2 linked regions of the Arabidopsis thaliana genome follow. The protein of the gene in region 1 purifies or fractionates together with the protein of each later gene. This does not show direct contact. Each region holds a gene or a part of one and is shown on either strand. Other genes may lie near its edges.

The links. Proteins that work in one complex are often made in the same cells at the same time.
Region 2: the proteins of FAC1 (region 1) and STL2P fractionate together in Arabidopsis thaliana (co-fractionation; one study listed by BioGRID). This does not show direct contact.

Annotation. Positions count from the first base shown.
Region 1 is NC_003071.7:16,032,363-16,040,954, reverse strand, and holds FAC1 (AMP deaminase, putative / myoadenylate deaminase), read left to right. Parts: upstream 1-1,982; 5' UTR 1,983-2,161; coding exon 2,162-2,516; intron 2,517-2,623; coding exon 2,624-2,814; intron 2,815-2,898; coding exon 2,899-3,064; intron 3,065-3,397; coding exon 3,398-3,576; intron 3,577-3,653; coding exon 3,654-3,705; intron 3,706-3,823; coding exon 3,824-3,951; intron 3,952-4,031; coding exon 4,032-4,211; intron 4,212-4,294; coding exon 4,295-4,362; intron 4,363-4,556; coding exon 4,557-4,699; intron 4,700-4,800; coding exon 4,801-4,862; intron 4,863-5,330; coding exon 5,331-5,444; intron 5,445-5,578; coding exon 5,579-5,719; intron 5,720-5,815; coding exon 5,816-5,968; intron 5,969-6,048; coding exon 6,049-6,102; intron 6,103-6,183; coding exon 6,184-6,294; intron 6,295-6,367; coding exon 6,368-6,541; intron 6,542-6,764; coding exon 6,765-6,845; intron 6,846-6,937; coding exon 6,938-7,036; intron 7,037-7,119; coding exon 7,120-7,188; 3' UTR 7,189-7,228; and 3 more. Other genes in the region: AMT2 (ammonium transporter 2), read left to right, coding at 154-439, 578-681, 849-1,283; CXIP2 (CAX-interacting protein 2), read left to right, coding at 7,901-8,281. UniProt on the Arabidopsis thaliana protein: AMP deaminase plays a critical role in energy metabolism. Essential for the transition from zygote to embryo.
Region 2 is NC_003071.7:211,286-216,839, forward strand, and holds STL2P (SEC12P-like 2 protein), read right to left. Parts: upstream 3,189-5,554; 5' UTR 3,151-3,188; coding exon 2,872-3,150; intron 2,762-2,871; coding exon 2,667-2,761; intron 2,499-2,666; coding exon 2,354-2,498; intron 2,262-2,353; coding exon 2,170-2,261; intron 2,037-2,169; coding exon 1,940-2,036; intron 1,845-1,939; coding exon 1,769-1,844; intron 1,677-1,768; coding exon 1,556-1,676; intron 1,472-1,555; coding exon 1,355-1,471; intron 1,194-1,354; coding exon 1,126-1,193; intron 1,022-1,125; coding exon 930-1,021; 3' UTR 628-929; downstream 1-627. Other genes in the region: AT2G01460 (P-loop containing nucleoside triphosphate hydrolases superfamily protein), read left to right, coding at 4-117, 207-326, 415-480. UniProt on the Arabidopsis thaliana protein: Required for the formation or budding of transport vesicles from the ER.

The sequences.
Region 1 (8,592 bases):
GGTAAAAGTCAAGTCAATTCCACTGACGACGACATAATATTCCACATAGTAAATATATAAAATCATGCAAAAGAAAATGAAATTAAATGGTTAGTTAAAAAGCAAACACTAGCTAGTTGAGAAATACGATTTTCTGACATGATGTTATTATAGGTAGGACCAAGGCCTAAGGCTGACAGAGAGAGATTCCCACCGAACAATGTTCTTCTAATGCTTGCTGGAGCTGGACTTTTATGGATGGGATGGTCCGGTTTTAACGGTGGTGCTCCTTACGCGGCCAACTTAACCTCCTCTATCGCCGTGTTAAACACCAACCTCTCGGCCGCCACAAGCCTCCTTGTATGGACTACACTTGATGTCATCTTCTTTGGCAAACCTTCTGTCATCGGAGCAATTCAAGGCATGGTTACTGGCTTAGCCGGCGTCACTCCCGGAGCAGGTTTCAGTCATCTTCTTTTCAAGTTTTTTGTTTACTCTAAGTCTCTAAGTTTATTTATGATTAAGGTTGAATTATGTGGAAACTTATTAATATTGCATTGTTAATTTATTATACTGACAAATAAGATATCTATTGCAGGTTTGATCCAAACATGGGCAGCTATAATAATTGGAGTAGTCTCAGGAACAGCTCCATGGGCCTCTATGATGATCATTCACAAGAAATCCGCTCTCCTTCAAAAGGTAATTTAGATCATAAATCCCATTTTAATTTCATAACCAACAAAAAAAAAAAAAAAATGTTTTACCTTATTAGAAAAACGAAAATGTTTCAATTGTAGAATTAAGGTATTAGTAATAACAAACGAATGATTTGAACTGTAATATTTTGATTGGGTTGAAATAAACAGGTGGATGATACATTAGCGGTGTTTTACACACACGCCGTGGCTGGTTTACTTGGTGGAATAATGACAGGGTTGTTTGCACACCCTGATCTCTGCGTTTTGGTACTTCCTCTCCCAGCGACCAGAGGAGCTTTCTACGGTGGCAATGGCGGCAAACAGCTTTTGAAACAGTTGGCTGGAGCTGCCTTCATTGCCGTCTGGAATGTGGTGTCGACTACTATCATTCTACTCGCTATTAGGGTGTTCATACCATTGAGAATGGCTGAGGAAGAGCTCGGGATTGGAGACGACGCAGCACATGGGGAAGAAGCTTATGCTCTTTGGGGAGATGGAGAGAAGTTTGATGCTACAAGGCATGTGCAACAGTTTGAGAGAGATCAAGAAGCTGCTCATCCTTCTTATGTTCATGGTGCTAGAGGTGTCACCATTGTTCTATGATTTTTCTTCTTCTTTTTCTTATTTATTTTTTGTGTATTGATTTCCTTATGACATTAGAGATGTGAATGAGTTATTTGTGTTCTGTATAGGTGGTAAAACTTCACTTTTCATATTTTTTGGTGTGTATTTGGAGTTAACAACCATTTGTGATTTTGTTGAAATGAAAACATAGAGTTCGTGAACAAATGTACCTTGTAACCATTTTAAATTCAGTTAAAGTAATTTCCTCAAGTCATTTGGCTAATAAGTAATTTCCTTAATCACTTTTTCCTTGGGCCACAAATAAAAAAGAAAAGCATGAGACTGAGACCATGTAATCTGGACTCGAGCTAACATTAGACCCATAGTTCTCTTGATATTTAGTGCCAAAGGCCCAACACCTAGTTTTCTTAAAATGATAGTGTTAACCTTAATTCCCTTATTTCTTAGGGATTTTGATGTGTTAATGTTTAATGAAGAACTTTCTTCCGTTTTATATTTTGTACAATATTTATGAAAATGATTTTTTATTTGAACAAACTAAAAAATATGAAGAGTTTTCACTTTCACGTATAAAAGCAAACATAAAATAAAATAAAAAAATTGGACAGATAAAAACAAAAATTGGTGTCTGAAATAATTGAACACTAATGAAGAAATTATTTGTCTATAAAACTCTGCCCCTATAATTATCAGCACTTTTAGTTTTTAGCCATAAAGGTTTCAACTTTTATCAAAGACCCAGCCTTTTTGCAAGTGGCGTGGTTTCACTCGTTGGGCCTATAAATAACAACTCAACCTCGACCTCCCACCATCGCCACTAAAACGAAATCGTGGTCTTACTCTCTCTTCTGAGTTCTGACCTGAGCACACACACAGAGATTTTGATTGTGTCACTCATGGAACCCAATATTTACCAACTTGCCCTCGCGGCTCTATTCGGAGCTTCCTTCGTTGCTGTTTCTGGGTTTTTCATGCATTTCAAGGCACTGAATCTAGTCCTTGAGCGTGGTAAGGAGCGTAAAGAGAACCCTGATGGAGACGAGCCTCAAAATCCGACCTTGGTGAGGCGGCGGAGCCAAGTTAGAAGGAAGGTTAATGACCAATATGGTCGCAGTCCTGCTTCTCTTCCAGATGCCACTCCTTTTACCGATGGTGGCGGCGGCGGCGGCGGTGATACAGGACGGAGCAACGGTCACGTTTATGTCGATGAAATTCCTCCTGGTCTCCCTAGGCTTCATACGCCATCTGAAGGTATGAGAACCAAACCTGAATTGATCAGATTAGATTGTGGATTATAAAAATTGATCCTTTAATCCTTTGATGATGCTGATAGATAGTTTGTGATTGCTTTTTTTCAGGGAGAGCTTCTGTACATGGAGCTAGTAGTATCAGGAAAACTGGAAGCTTTGTTAGACCAATATCTCCGAAATCCCCTGTTGCTAGTGCTAGTGCTTTTGAGAGTGTGGAAGAATCAGATGATGATGATAATTTGACTAATAGTGAGGGTTTAGATGCTTCCTACTTGCAAGCTAATGGTGACAATGAGATGGTGAGTTTCTTTATTTATCATTACTTTTTCAATCCCTGTTCTGTGATTGAATAGGTGGGTTTACAAGTAAGATGTTTTTTGCAGCCTGCAGATGCTAATGAAGAACAAATATCTATGGCTGCTTCAAGTATGATTCGATCCCATAGTGTGTCTGGTGACTTACATGGAGTTCAGCCTGATCCTATTGCTGCTGACATTCTTCGTAAGGAGCCAGAGCAAGAGACCTTTGTCCGTCTTAATGTTCCTCTTGGTAAGAATGGTCACTTTTTGTTTCGTTCTGTCATCTTGCCTTACTTCTGGTTCCTGTATGCTTAGTACTCTTTTCCTATTGTTACAAATCATGACATGTTTGTTTTATAAGTCCCACTACTTGAAAAGTTTTTTGCTAGTGGCAAGTAATTAAGTGGAGTTACGGACAATTAAATAAGTAGTCTTGAGTAAGAGAAGCAAGGGTCAGTTAAGGCTTTACTCAGTGTGGGAGCTGAGCCATTGAAATTCTTAGATTATAGTTTAAGAATTATAGCTTGAAACGGTTAAGACGTCAACACATATCTTATTCATATTTTACTCATGATCTGTTTAGAGGTGCCAACGTCCGATGAAGTTGAAGCCTATAAATGTCTGCAAGAATGTCTTGAACTGCGGAAGAGGTATGTCTTCCAAGAAACAGTTGCACCATGGGAAAAAGAAGTCATATCTGATCCTAGTACTCCAAAGCCTAATACAGAGCCATTTGCACACTATCCTCAGGGAAAATCTGATGTGAGTCTATACTCCTTATATATGTCATCAAACACCATGCATTGATGAATTAAACTTCCCAATCTTTGTTTTTACAGCATTGTTTTGAGATGCAAGATGGGGTTGTCCACGTGTTTGCAAATAAAGATGGTAAGAGTCCTAGTATTAAAATTCTAATGCTTCTTTTTCCTTTACTCATAATAGTTGATTTGGTTGCATTCTTTTGCTTTTCGAATAACTGACCCTTCTTCTGTTTCATAATTCCCAGCAAAAGAAGATCTCTTCCCGGTAGCTGATGCCACAGCGTTTTTCACTGACTTGCATCACGTACTCAAAGTCATAGCTGCAGGAAACATCCGGACTTTGTGCCACCGTCGACTAGTGCTCCTAGAACAGGCAAGAGTTTTATTTAGAGAAGAATGAATGTCAATAAGCAAGTTTCGTCTTGTTAACAGTATGTCTATTTTTTGTTTCAGAAATTTAATCTCCATTTGATGCTTAATGCGGATAAAGAATTTCTTGCTCAAAAAAGTGCACCACATCGTGATTTTTATAACGTTAGGAAAGTCGACACTCATGTGCATCATTCAGCTTGCATGAACCAGAAACACCTTTTAAGGTTTATTAAGTCAAAGCTCCGGAAAGAACCCGATGAGGTAACAATGGCAAACTATATGTTTTAGGATAGTATACAATTTGCTGATATGCAGATATGATAATTTCTTGCTCCTTTATACAGGTTGTAATATTCCGAGATGGAACATATTTGACCTTGAGAGAAGTTTTTGAGAGCCTGGATCTGACTGGGTAATTACATTTCCAACTTCTTAGAATTCCCAACTTAACTCTATCTGAATCTGATGGCTGCAAGACTATTAGATTACCCTCTTAGGAGCCTCCTAGTTGTTGCGCACCGCAGATTGCCTGTATTGCATTTTTTACCATTTTTACCATGACACCGAAGAAATTAACCTTTTTCCCTTTGTTTGAACATTGCACAGATATGACCTGAACGTCGACCTTTTGGATGTTCATGCAGACAAAAGTACCTTTCATCGTTTTGATAAGTTCAACCTAAAGTATAACCCTTGTGGTCAAAGTAGGCTTAGGGAGATTTTCCTTAAACAGGATAATCTCATCCAAGGTAATTGAATACTCCAGTCACTCTTATTACCGTTTTTAGTTCATTTGATGCATCAGTTATGCACTCTCAGTTGCCTGACATTTATTTTCGTTTGGTTTAAGGTCGATTTCTTGGTGAGATAACAAAGCAAGTCTTCTCTGACCTTGAAGCTAGTAAATATCAGGTAAACGCCACATGCATCTTTGTTATTTTTATTCTTGATCAACTGCAGTGGTCTTATGCATTTAGAACGAACATTATAAGAGAGGAACACTGTTAGAATCAAATCCATTCTAACTAAGCTTTTGATATAATGATTTACTGGGAATACATAGAGACTTAGGATTTGGTAATGGATCTCCTCCTATTCCCCCTTACAAATGCAAAGCTTGCTATTTCTTGTTGCATATGCTTTATAGCTGCATTAAACTTTAACTCATTTGTTATATTAGGAAAAGATATAGTAGTAAAATCCTTGGATTTTAGTCTCAGTAACCATATCAAACTCACACTCCCTCACATATGCGCATTGACTTGAGTTCCAAAAAACATCATGGCATTGCTCAAATTCTGTGTCAAGAAATCTTCTTGCCAAAGCAGATCCATAATTGCTCTGTTTTGTTTTTCCTGATGTCTACGTTGAACACTGCAGATGGCTGAATACAGAATATCTATATATGGCAGAAAAATGAGCGAGTGGGACCAACTCGCTAGTTGGATTGTGAACAATGATCTATACAGTGAGAATGTTGTCTGGTTAATTCAGGTTAGCCATCTCTTTGATACTTGTGTGCTCCATGTCCTTCCATGAGTGTATGTGTTTTTTTTGTCTCCGTGTGTTTGTAACATGACTGCTAACTGAGCTATATTTTCCTTGTTTTCTGTTTGTCTGCTCACTAGCTCCCACGCTTGTACAACATTTACAAGGACATGGGTATTGTGACATCGTTCCAGAATATCCTGGACAATATATTCATTCCTCTGTTTGAAGCCACGGTAGATCCTGATTCCCATCCTCAGCTCCATGTTTTTTTGAAGCAGGTTAGCATTCATATCTTCAAATAACCTCTAATCCGCATGTCTTTACACAATAAAGAGTTGGTTTGACTGGTTGCTGTCTCTTGTTTGCTATTTCAGGTTGTTGGATTTGATTTGGTTGATGATGAAAGCAAACCTGAAAGACGTCCCACAAAACACATGCCCACTCCAGCTCAATGGACTAACGCATTCAATCCTGCATTTTCGTATTATGTCTACTATTGTTATGCTAACCTCTATGTGTTAAATAAGGTACCATTCCTCTTAGTCGCTTCTGTAACTAACTTGGTGTTCTCAAAACTGTGTAATATGGAGTAACTATTTTTCTTCAGCTTCGAGAGTCAAAGGGCATGACTACTATCACGCTACGACCACATTCTGGAGAGGTGTGTTATTTCTTCCTTTGTGCTAGATAAACAGTTTTCAGTTACAGTTCAGTGGAATTTTAACATGTCTACAAATTTCAGGCTGGTGACATTGACCACTTGGCTGCTACGTTTCTAACATGCCATAGCATCGCACATGGAATCAATCTGCGAAAGTCTCCTGTGCTTCAGTATCTGTACTACCTCGCCCAGGTTTGTGGAGACTGCCTGCATGTATTACATATGTATTATTGTTTCTGTTCTAAGAAGACATTTCTTTTGACAGATTGGTCTGGCCATGTCACCACTGAGCAACAACTCTTTGTTTCTAGATTACCACCGGAACCCGTTTCCTGTGTTTTTCTTAAGAGGTCTCAATGTTTCTCTGTCTACTGATGACCCCCTTCAGATTCACTTAACTAAAGAACCTCTCGTGGAAGAGTATAGCATAGCTGCATCAGTAAGTCATAATCTTTCCATTATGCAGTCTTGCCACACATCATAGGCCTTGAAAAGTTGATTATATTTTTAAAAGTCTTATTAGTTATTACCTTTAAATGATTTATACTGATCTTCTGCAATTGCAAACACGAAGAACAATGAAATTTCTCTCTATACATCCTTTTCTTCTAGGTTTTAGTTATATTTATGTATTAACTGAAGATGATAACTGGATTTTTCAGGTTTGGAAGCTGAGTGCGTGTGACCTGTGCGAGATAGCTCGTAACTCAGTGTACCAGTCAGGTTTCTCACACGCCCTGAAGGTACTTGTTATATCAACATGGCCCATAGTATGAATGAACAAGATGTCTCTGTTCCGATCTACTAATAATACTAACTTGTTGAGATGTTCCAGTCGCACTGGATTGGAAAAGATTACTACAAAAGAGGACCTGATGGAAACGACATTCACAAAACAAACGTGCCACACATAAGGGTGGAGTTCCGTGACACGGTATGGAATGAAATATATTTATTCTTCACACAAGTTAATTTCTCTTTGTAGGAAAACAAATTAAAAATATGAAGTTGATGCAGATCTGGAAAGAGGAGATGCAACAGGTTTATCTGGGCAAGGCTGTTATCTCTGATGAAGTTGTTCCATAAAAACCACAATCAGAAATGGCAAGACGTAAGAATCCAACATGTATGTAACAACTCAATGATCTTATCACTTCTGTTACAACATTTTCTTATGATGTCAATGATTGAATTTCAGATTGCAGGGGAACAAAGAGAGCATTTTGAGAAGTATACGAAAGCAGGAACCTAGTAGATAGGGTAATAATATGAGTGGCTCTGTGCCCTGAGAAAGCGATTAGGCTGTGCCAAAATCTTATTGTTTTATAAAGCTTTTTAGATAATGAGATACAAAGAGACCAGTTGAGAACCGGTTTTAATATAATGGATTTCAGTTTTTGGATTACATACTGTTTTAACTTGGATTCAGATTCAATTTTTAATCAGAAATAGCATTATGTTCGAAATCCAATTTTGTTTGTTTGTTTTGGTTCTGTTTTAAACCATACTGAGATCTGTTTACCGGATTAAACACATGTTTTTGGGTCACATTGGTAGATTTGGCTTGATCATGAAGTGAACTAGACAAATGTTCCTTTTGTTTCATAACAGACTGAAGTATGGAATGTGTAAGAAAAAAGAAACTAAAGCGGGTCCCACTTTTCCGAATTATGGTATTTAAAACCCAAGTATCATAAGGCCTTAATAACAGTCCAATTCAGGCCCAATGGATAAAATCCTATGTCAAATAAAAGAGCTCATCATTTTCCACCGATAACTTTTCTCAGCTCCGACAAAAATGGCTGCAATCACCATTTCTTCCTCCTTGCACGCCTCAGCCTCTCCGCGTGTTGTTCGTCCACATGTTTCTCGAAATACCCCTGTGATCACCCTCTATTCACGCTTCACACCATCCTTCTCCTTCCCATCTCTCTCCTTCACACTCCGTGACACAGCTCCGTCTCGTCGTCGTTCCTTCTTTATCGCCTCCGCCGTCAAATCTCTAACGGAGACGGAGCTGCTTCCAATCACAGAGGCTGATTCAATCCCGTCCGCTTCCGGTGTATACGCTGTATACGATAAGAGCGACGAGCTTCAGTTCGTCGGAATTTCTCGGAACATCGCTGCGAGTGTCTCTGCTCATCTCAAATCTGTGCCGGAGCTTTGTGGCTCCGTTAAGGTACTTATCCATGATTTCATATAGAGGAGTAGCATGTCTGTTACTATAACGAAGGATTCTTTGTTTTGTTGTGGTTGACTTTTGTTTATTACTGTTCATAGATTTGGGAAGTGTTTTGGTAAATGAATACTACAAAAGTTCATCACTTTAGTTCCAGAGATAGTATTTCATATCATTAGGATCACTATTGTTTGCAAAACTAGAGCTAATGAAGTTCTTGGTTCTGTTGTTGGTAAGAGTTCTTTTAACAACACTTACCACACATTATGATTAGGAGATGCATCAATAGTTCATTTTGTATATGTTACTTA
Region 2 (5,554 bases), about 16 Mb from region 1:
AAGAGTTACCTTCAAATAGTGTTGGAAAGACTGCCACCGGTCCAGAGAAGTTCAAGTGGAATACATACACAGCAAGCAGCGCGGTTGCAAGAGCTTGTGGAATTCATACAATCGCAGGTAATCAAAAGTCTCCTCAATCCTCTTTATCTCATTCTAGGTTTATTGTCTCTAAAATGGTTCTTCTATGCCTTTTTGACGACTTTAAGGGAAGTAGTAACAGTGTGTCGGAATCATCACCAAGAAGAGATGGTTCTTCCATAGACAACGTTTTAGAAGATATGCAATCAAGAATTAAACGACTCGAACGTTGGCACACCATCAATACGGTATCATATCAACATCATTGTGCTTTAAAAAAACTAATCACATTATGTTTATATCAATGATTAAAAGTAACCAATATGGTGAAATCAGGTACTATGGACATTTTTGATGTCTGCGCTCGTTGGTTACTCTCTCTACCAAAGGAAGCGTCAATAATTAAAATCTTTTCTCTGGTAATCTTCATTTCTTAGTTTTACCAAATAATCTAATCGCAGAAAAGAAAAAAGGTTACTAACCTGTGGGAATATTCAATATATAGTCTCCAGACATTGTAACTATCATTGTTTTAATATGAAAAAAGCTGCAATGAAAGTTGAAACCATATGTTTATTTTCTGTTCTTTAAGATTGATGAAGTGTTGAAAGAGTCTTACTGATCCATCATATGATAATAGTTTTCTAGTTTACTATGTCTACAAAAAAAAAAAGAGGAAACAAATTGTAACTTTTGCTGTTTTAGTGTTAGTTTACATGTTTTATTGATATAAAGCAAGCAAGTTTCTGGTAGATGTCAAACATAAAAAGCTAACTCAAAGCGTAATCGTATGATATGTTGGTTACAAGCCATTCCGCTGTATCGTCCTGTGTGGTCACTTAAAGGCCTTTCTAAGGTATGATACCCTTTGCCTTCATATAATAGTATGCAACCACGTATAGCAACACTATCAATAAAACCAGTAGCCACCACCTTACTCCAGCTGCAATTGCATCATCGAAAAACCACATTTTAGTTTAGTTTTCTATTGGAAACCCTTTTGTTAAAATGGAGAAGCAAGAGGGGAAACCATAAATATATACGTACGTTTGTCCCCCTTTTGTTCAATCATGGTCAGCCTTGCCCTTGAGTCAAAAGATACCGACACTAATCCCCTGCAAAACCAAACCCAAATTCAATCTATCTGCTTGTTTGGAACCATTCAATGATTTCATTTTCTTTGCTTCAGAATTTGTATATGTCTATTTGCTTGTTTGGAACCATTGAATCAATAGTTCTAGAGTAAATACTTGAGCCCCAATGAGTAGAGAAAAACCTTGAATCAGGAGAGAAAGTCAGTGCTGTGACCAAACCAAGATGCGCTTTCTTGACGACTTGGATAGTTTGCATTCTTGTCGATTCAAGTATTAAAACATCTCCTTCAAGGGTTCCTCTGCATTAAGAATATATTATGACTACCAAAAACAGTATCATCCTTATCTGTTGGTCCCAAAAGTGAGAAGACAGATACACTTACATTGCAAGAAGCTTCCCATCAGCTGAGACATTAAAAGCTGATATAGAGTTCTTTTTTATAGGCTTCGACCATTTTCTTTTCCATAATTTTGTATCACATGTTATAATACTCCCACCACGTTCTACGCAAAAAAATCAATCCTCAATCGTTAGCAGTGACAAGAAGGAAGGATTTATAGTTCAATATTCTTGTAATGTCAGAATATAAGTTTACCAGTGTTTGCAGCAATGTAAAGAACTTCATTGCCTGCACTGTCTACAGAGAATCTACAGGAGGCAAACATCTCGTCCTTCATTCAATATTCAAACTCATCAGATCCAATACAATAATGTTGGAAGTGTGTATGTAAAGTTGAAAAGACACTAAGAGCCAATTCCAACTGACCTTCTCTTTTGATAGACTGGCAACAGCAGCAGAAGCATTCACGTCCCAAACTCGACAAACTGGACCGCCAAGAGATACAAGAAATTGACCACTTTCGCTGCAGACGAAAATTATCATTATCAGGATATCTGTTTACAATCACTGTTCAAAGATGATTCCTTTGTCATCCAAGAGAATGAACCACTTTTCGGATAGCAAGTATTTCCCTTATTTGATAAGAGAAAGCAAACCTGAAAGTAAGGCATTTAACTGAAGAATGAGCCTGGGACTCATTAAGTAAAGTATTCATGCTAGGCCATTTAAAAACCCTCAAAGTCCCATCCTATACTGCATCAAAACAAAATGCATAAGAACCACTAAACGTTTTATGTCTCTGTTATTAAAAAGAGATTGCATCAAAGATCCTTTTTTTACCTCCGCACCAGCAGCAAGAACAGACCCCTCCGGATTAAACGCCAGAGCCAACTGTTGTCCAACATCTCTTAACTCTTTAATCACTTCCTCCGACTCACCAGCCTGATTATCCTCTCGGCTCATAATGTCTTCCCAATGAAACAGTCTGTGTATCAAGAGAACATCACTTATTACCACATCTCTTGTAAATTTCTCTCTACTCCAAACCATAAACTCACAGAACTTCTCTCTAAAATCTCATGCACTACGACTTTGTATACAGAAACTTCAAGATCATATGCTTTCATTTGAAATCGAATTGAGAATTACTCACTTGCAACTGTTAGGCAACGCGCAAATAAGACCACCTTCCCGAGGATGAACAGCCATCCGATAAGGCAGATCAGAGCCAACCACAAGCCTACCCAGCTGAAAATAAGTATCCGATCTAGTTATAGGAAATACAAAACCTTGCAAATGCATAAGATCTGCTCCTATACACTCATATAAGAACAGAATATAAAACCTTTCCTACTTACAGGTTGTTCCGAGAGAGAATTGGTGTTTAGATCAACACGGCATATTAATATGACATTAGAGATTCCACTTCGTCCCTCTCCGCCTCCGCCGGACAAAACGATGCAGCTCCGGGAAGAAGAAGAAGAAGAAGACGACTCATCATCATCTTCAGATTTCTCCGGATCCATTATGATTTTGGATCTGACATCTACCTCCGGAATCCAGTCGGCGGCGTAAATCGGTACACCGTAAGTCTGCATATTCGACGGTTGATTCGTCTCTGTACTCTGATTCGCCATCCTCCGTGTCTGTCTCTCGAGCTCAATGCCAAGTCCCCACTGATTCGTAAAAATACTAAATACAAAAAAAAATATTAATGGGCTAACTTAAGGCCCATTACAGTATTTATAGGCCCATCATAATATTTCATTTATCGCTGAATTCCGGTAAAGTGATAGCGGTTGGACCCGGTTCACGGGATAGAGACGGGAAAGAGTACGGCGGTACGGAGGTCAAACTCGGCGAGAAAGAGTACGTATACCGGATCCTTTAATTTTTATAATATTTTCATTTATCACCCCAATACTATTGATTTGATCTAAAAACACCCTATAGTTGTGTAAAATTCTTAAATCGATGTGTTGGTGATTTTTGACGTAGGTATCATCTGTTTCGGGACGAGGACATCCTTGGTACATTGCACGAGTAAAATGCAAAGGAAGTCTCTGAGTCAGCTAGTGGGTTTCTTGGTGGAATAATAATTTTTCAGTGACTCGTTTCGATACATGTTGTTGAAATTTGAAAGTTTTGTTATTTCTCATCATTTTGTTCCTCCTTAAATTTGGCCCTTTTATAACTGTCTTTATCTTATGTCTAATCGTTTTCTGTGATTTATATCTTTGTATTTAGTGTGCTACTTATATAAGTTAAAACTCTACACGAATAAAACTCAAGTAGTGAGATTTCGAAGATCAAATAGTTTGTAAACTACGACGAAAATTACAAAAATTGCAACTTGCAAGTGTCACTAACTATAAATCACGACATTCTTCCCTTTCGAAAAATCTTCATTTCTCGACAAAAAATTTAGGTTTCCAATGATGACCACAAAAAGTGGAAAAAAACGATTCTCGTTTCTGAAACGTTTCGCTTCCGCGTTTTCATTACTGTTTCTATGCTAGAGAGTATTAGTGCCTTGTTGTCATGGTCATATATCTCAATTGAAAATCTCCTAAAACTATATATAAAATGACATATAGTATTTTACTAAATTTAGGAATCTTTTCATTTATATAGTAAAAAAATAAAATAGTGTCGCTGTTGCCAACCACTCTCTATCCATCTCAGTTTGCACATGCAACACAACCACATGCTAATTGCTAGTGAAACTCTCATACTGTTTAATTAACTCCCTAAATATTTATCAAACAAATGATATCTACGTTTTTTAAAAAAAAAACATATCTTTAGATTATAGAGTTATACAATAATTTCCACATACATAAGCTTCCACGTATCCAAATTTAAATAAATATTTTTTGTGTATAAAATGTAATCCAAAGATGGAGATCTAAATCTACTAATTAACTCACAAGTCAACATTTAAATATGCTTAGAAAAATAATTGTTTTCGATCTATGAAATTATGTGGCTGCATTATAGTATTAACAAGCAATCATGCTTAGAAAATTATAATATTGTTATCAATACAATTACACCCTAATTCCTTACCAAAAATACGTGCCGTTTCAAGATTAGCTAAATAGAGCATGGAATCAACATTGCTTGTCGTGTTGGCTTTCTCTTCGGAGTTGTTAATTTTTAATTTAATATTTTTACTATTTTCATCACATTATTGAATACGAATAATAATTGTATTAAACAATCATTATTGGAATAAGACTTAGATGATAAAGATATTCTAATCATTTATAAAATACGTAGATGTTGACTTTTTTTTTTTGGCAACTATTTGAAATATATTTGTTTCCAACGATTATTATTTTATAAAAAATAATCATAAAATTTGTGACCTGCAATATGACATTAATAGTTAAAAAAAATTTCGTCAAAAGGAATAATTCACAATTTTAAATAGATAAAAATTGTAACCAGAAGATATACCATCATATATATTTACAAATTGTATTATTATCTATTCATAATACAAAACATGACAAAAGAAATTGGTTGAGTTCTTGTCGGGTATTTTCCATATCTCACACAAATAAATCAAAAATTGAAAAAGATTACAAGACACAAACAATCCAAAAAATTAAGTATCAAAAGGCAAATTTTTTATTTTTATCTTTAGTTTCTCGTAGTGCAAATATTAAAGCGGTTAATTTGATACGTAAAATTCGTGTTCAACCGCAACATATTATTTACGTAAACAACATTTTTCAAAAATTGCATTAATTAATTTTGGATAATAAAAAAAAAGGTATATACTACTAAAATATGGAGATTAACTAAAACTGTTCATCAAGAATCTTCAATATATATCTTTAAAGAGATTTATTTCGAATTTTATTAAAGAAAAAAATTTGAAATCTAAAGGGCAACCAAAAAAAAAAAAAAAAGACAAGAGGAGAAAGAAAAGCAAAGGAAGGGCATGTGACTGATCACGGCTTTGCCTCCACCGCATAAAGCTCCCTTCACAGATACATACACTCTCTTTCTCTCTCTTCCGGCGTTTATTCT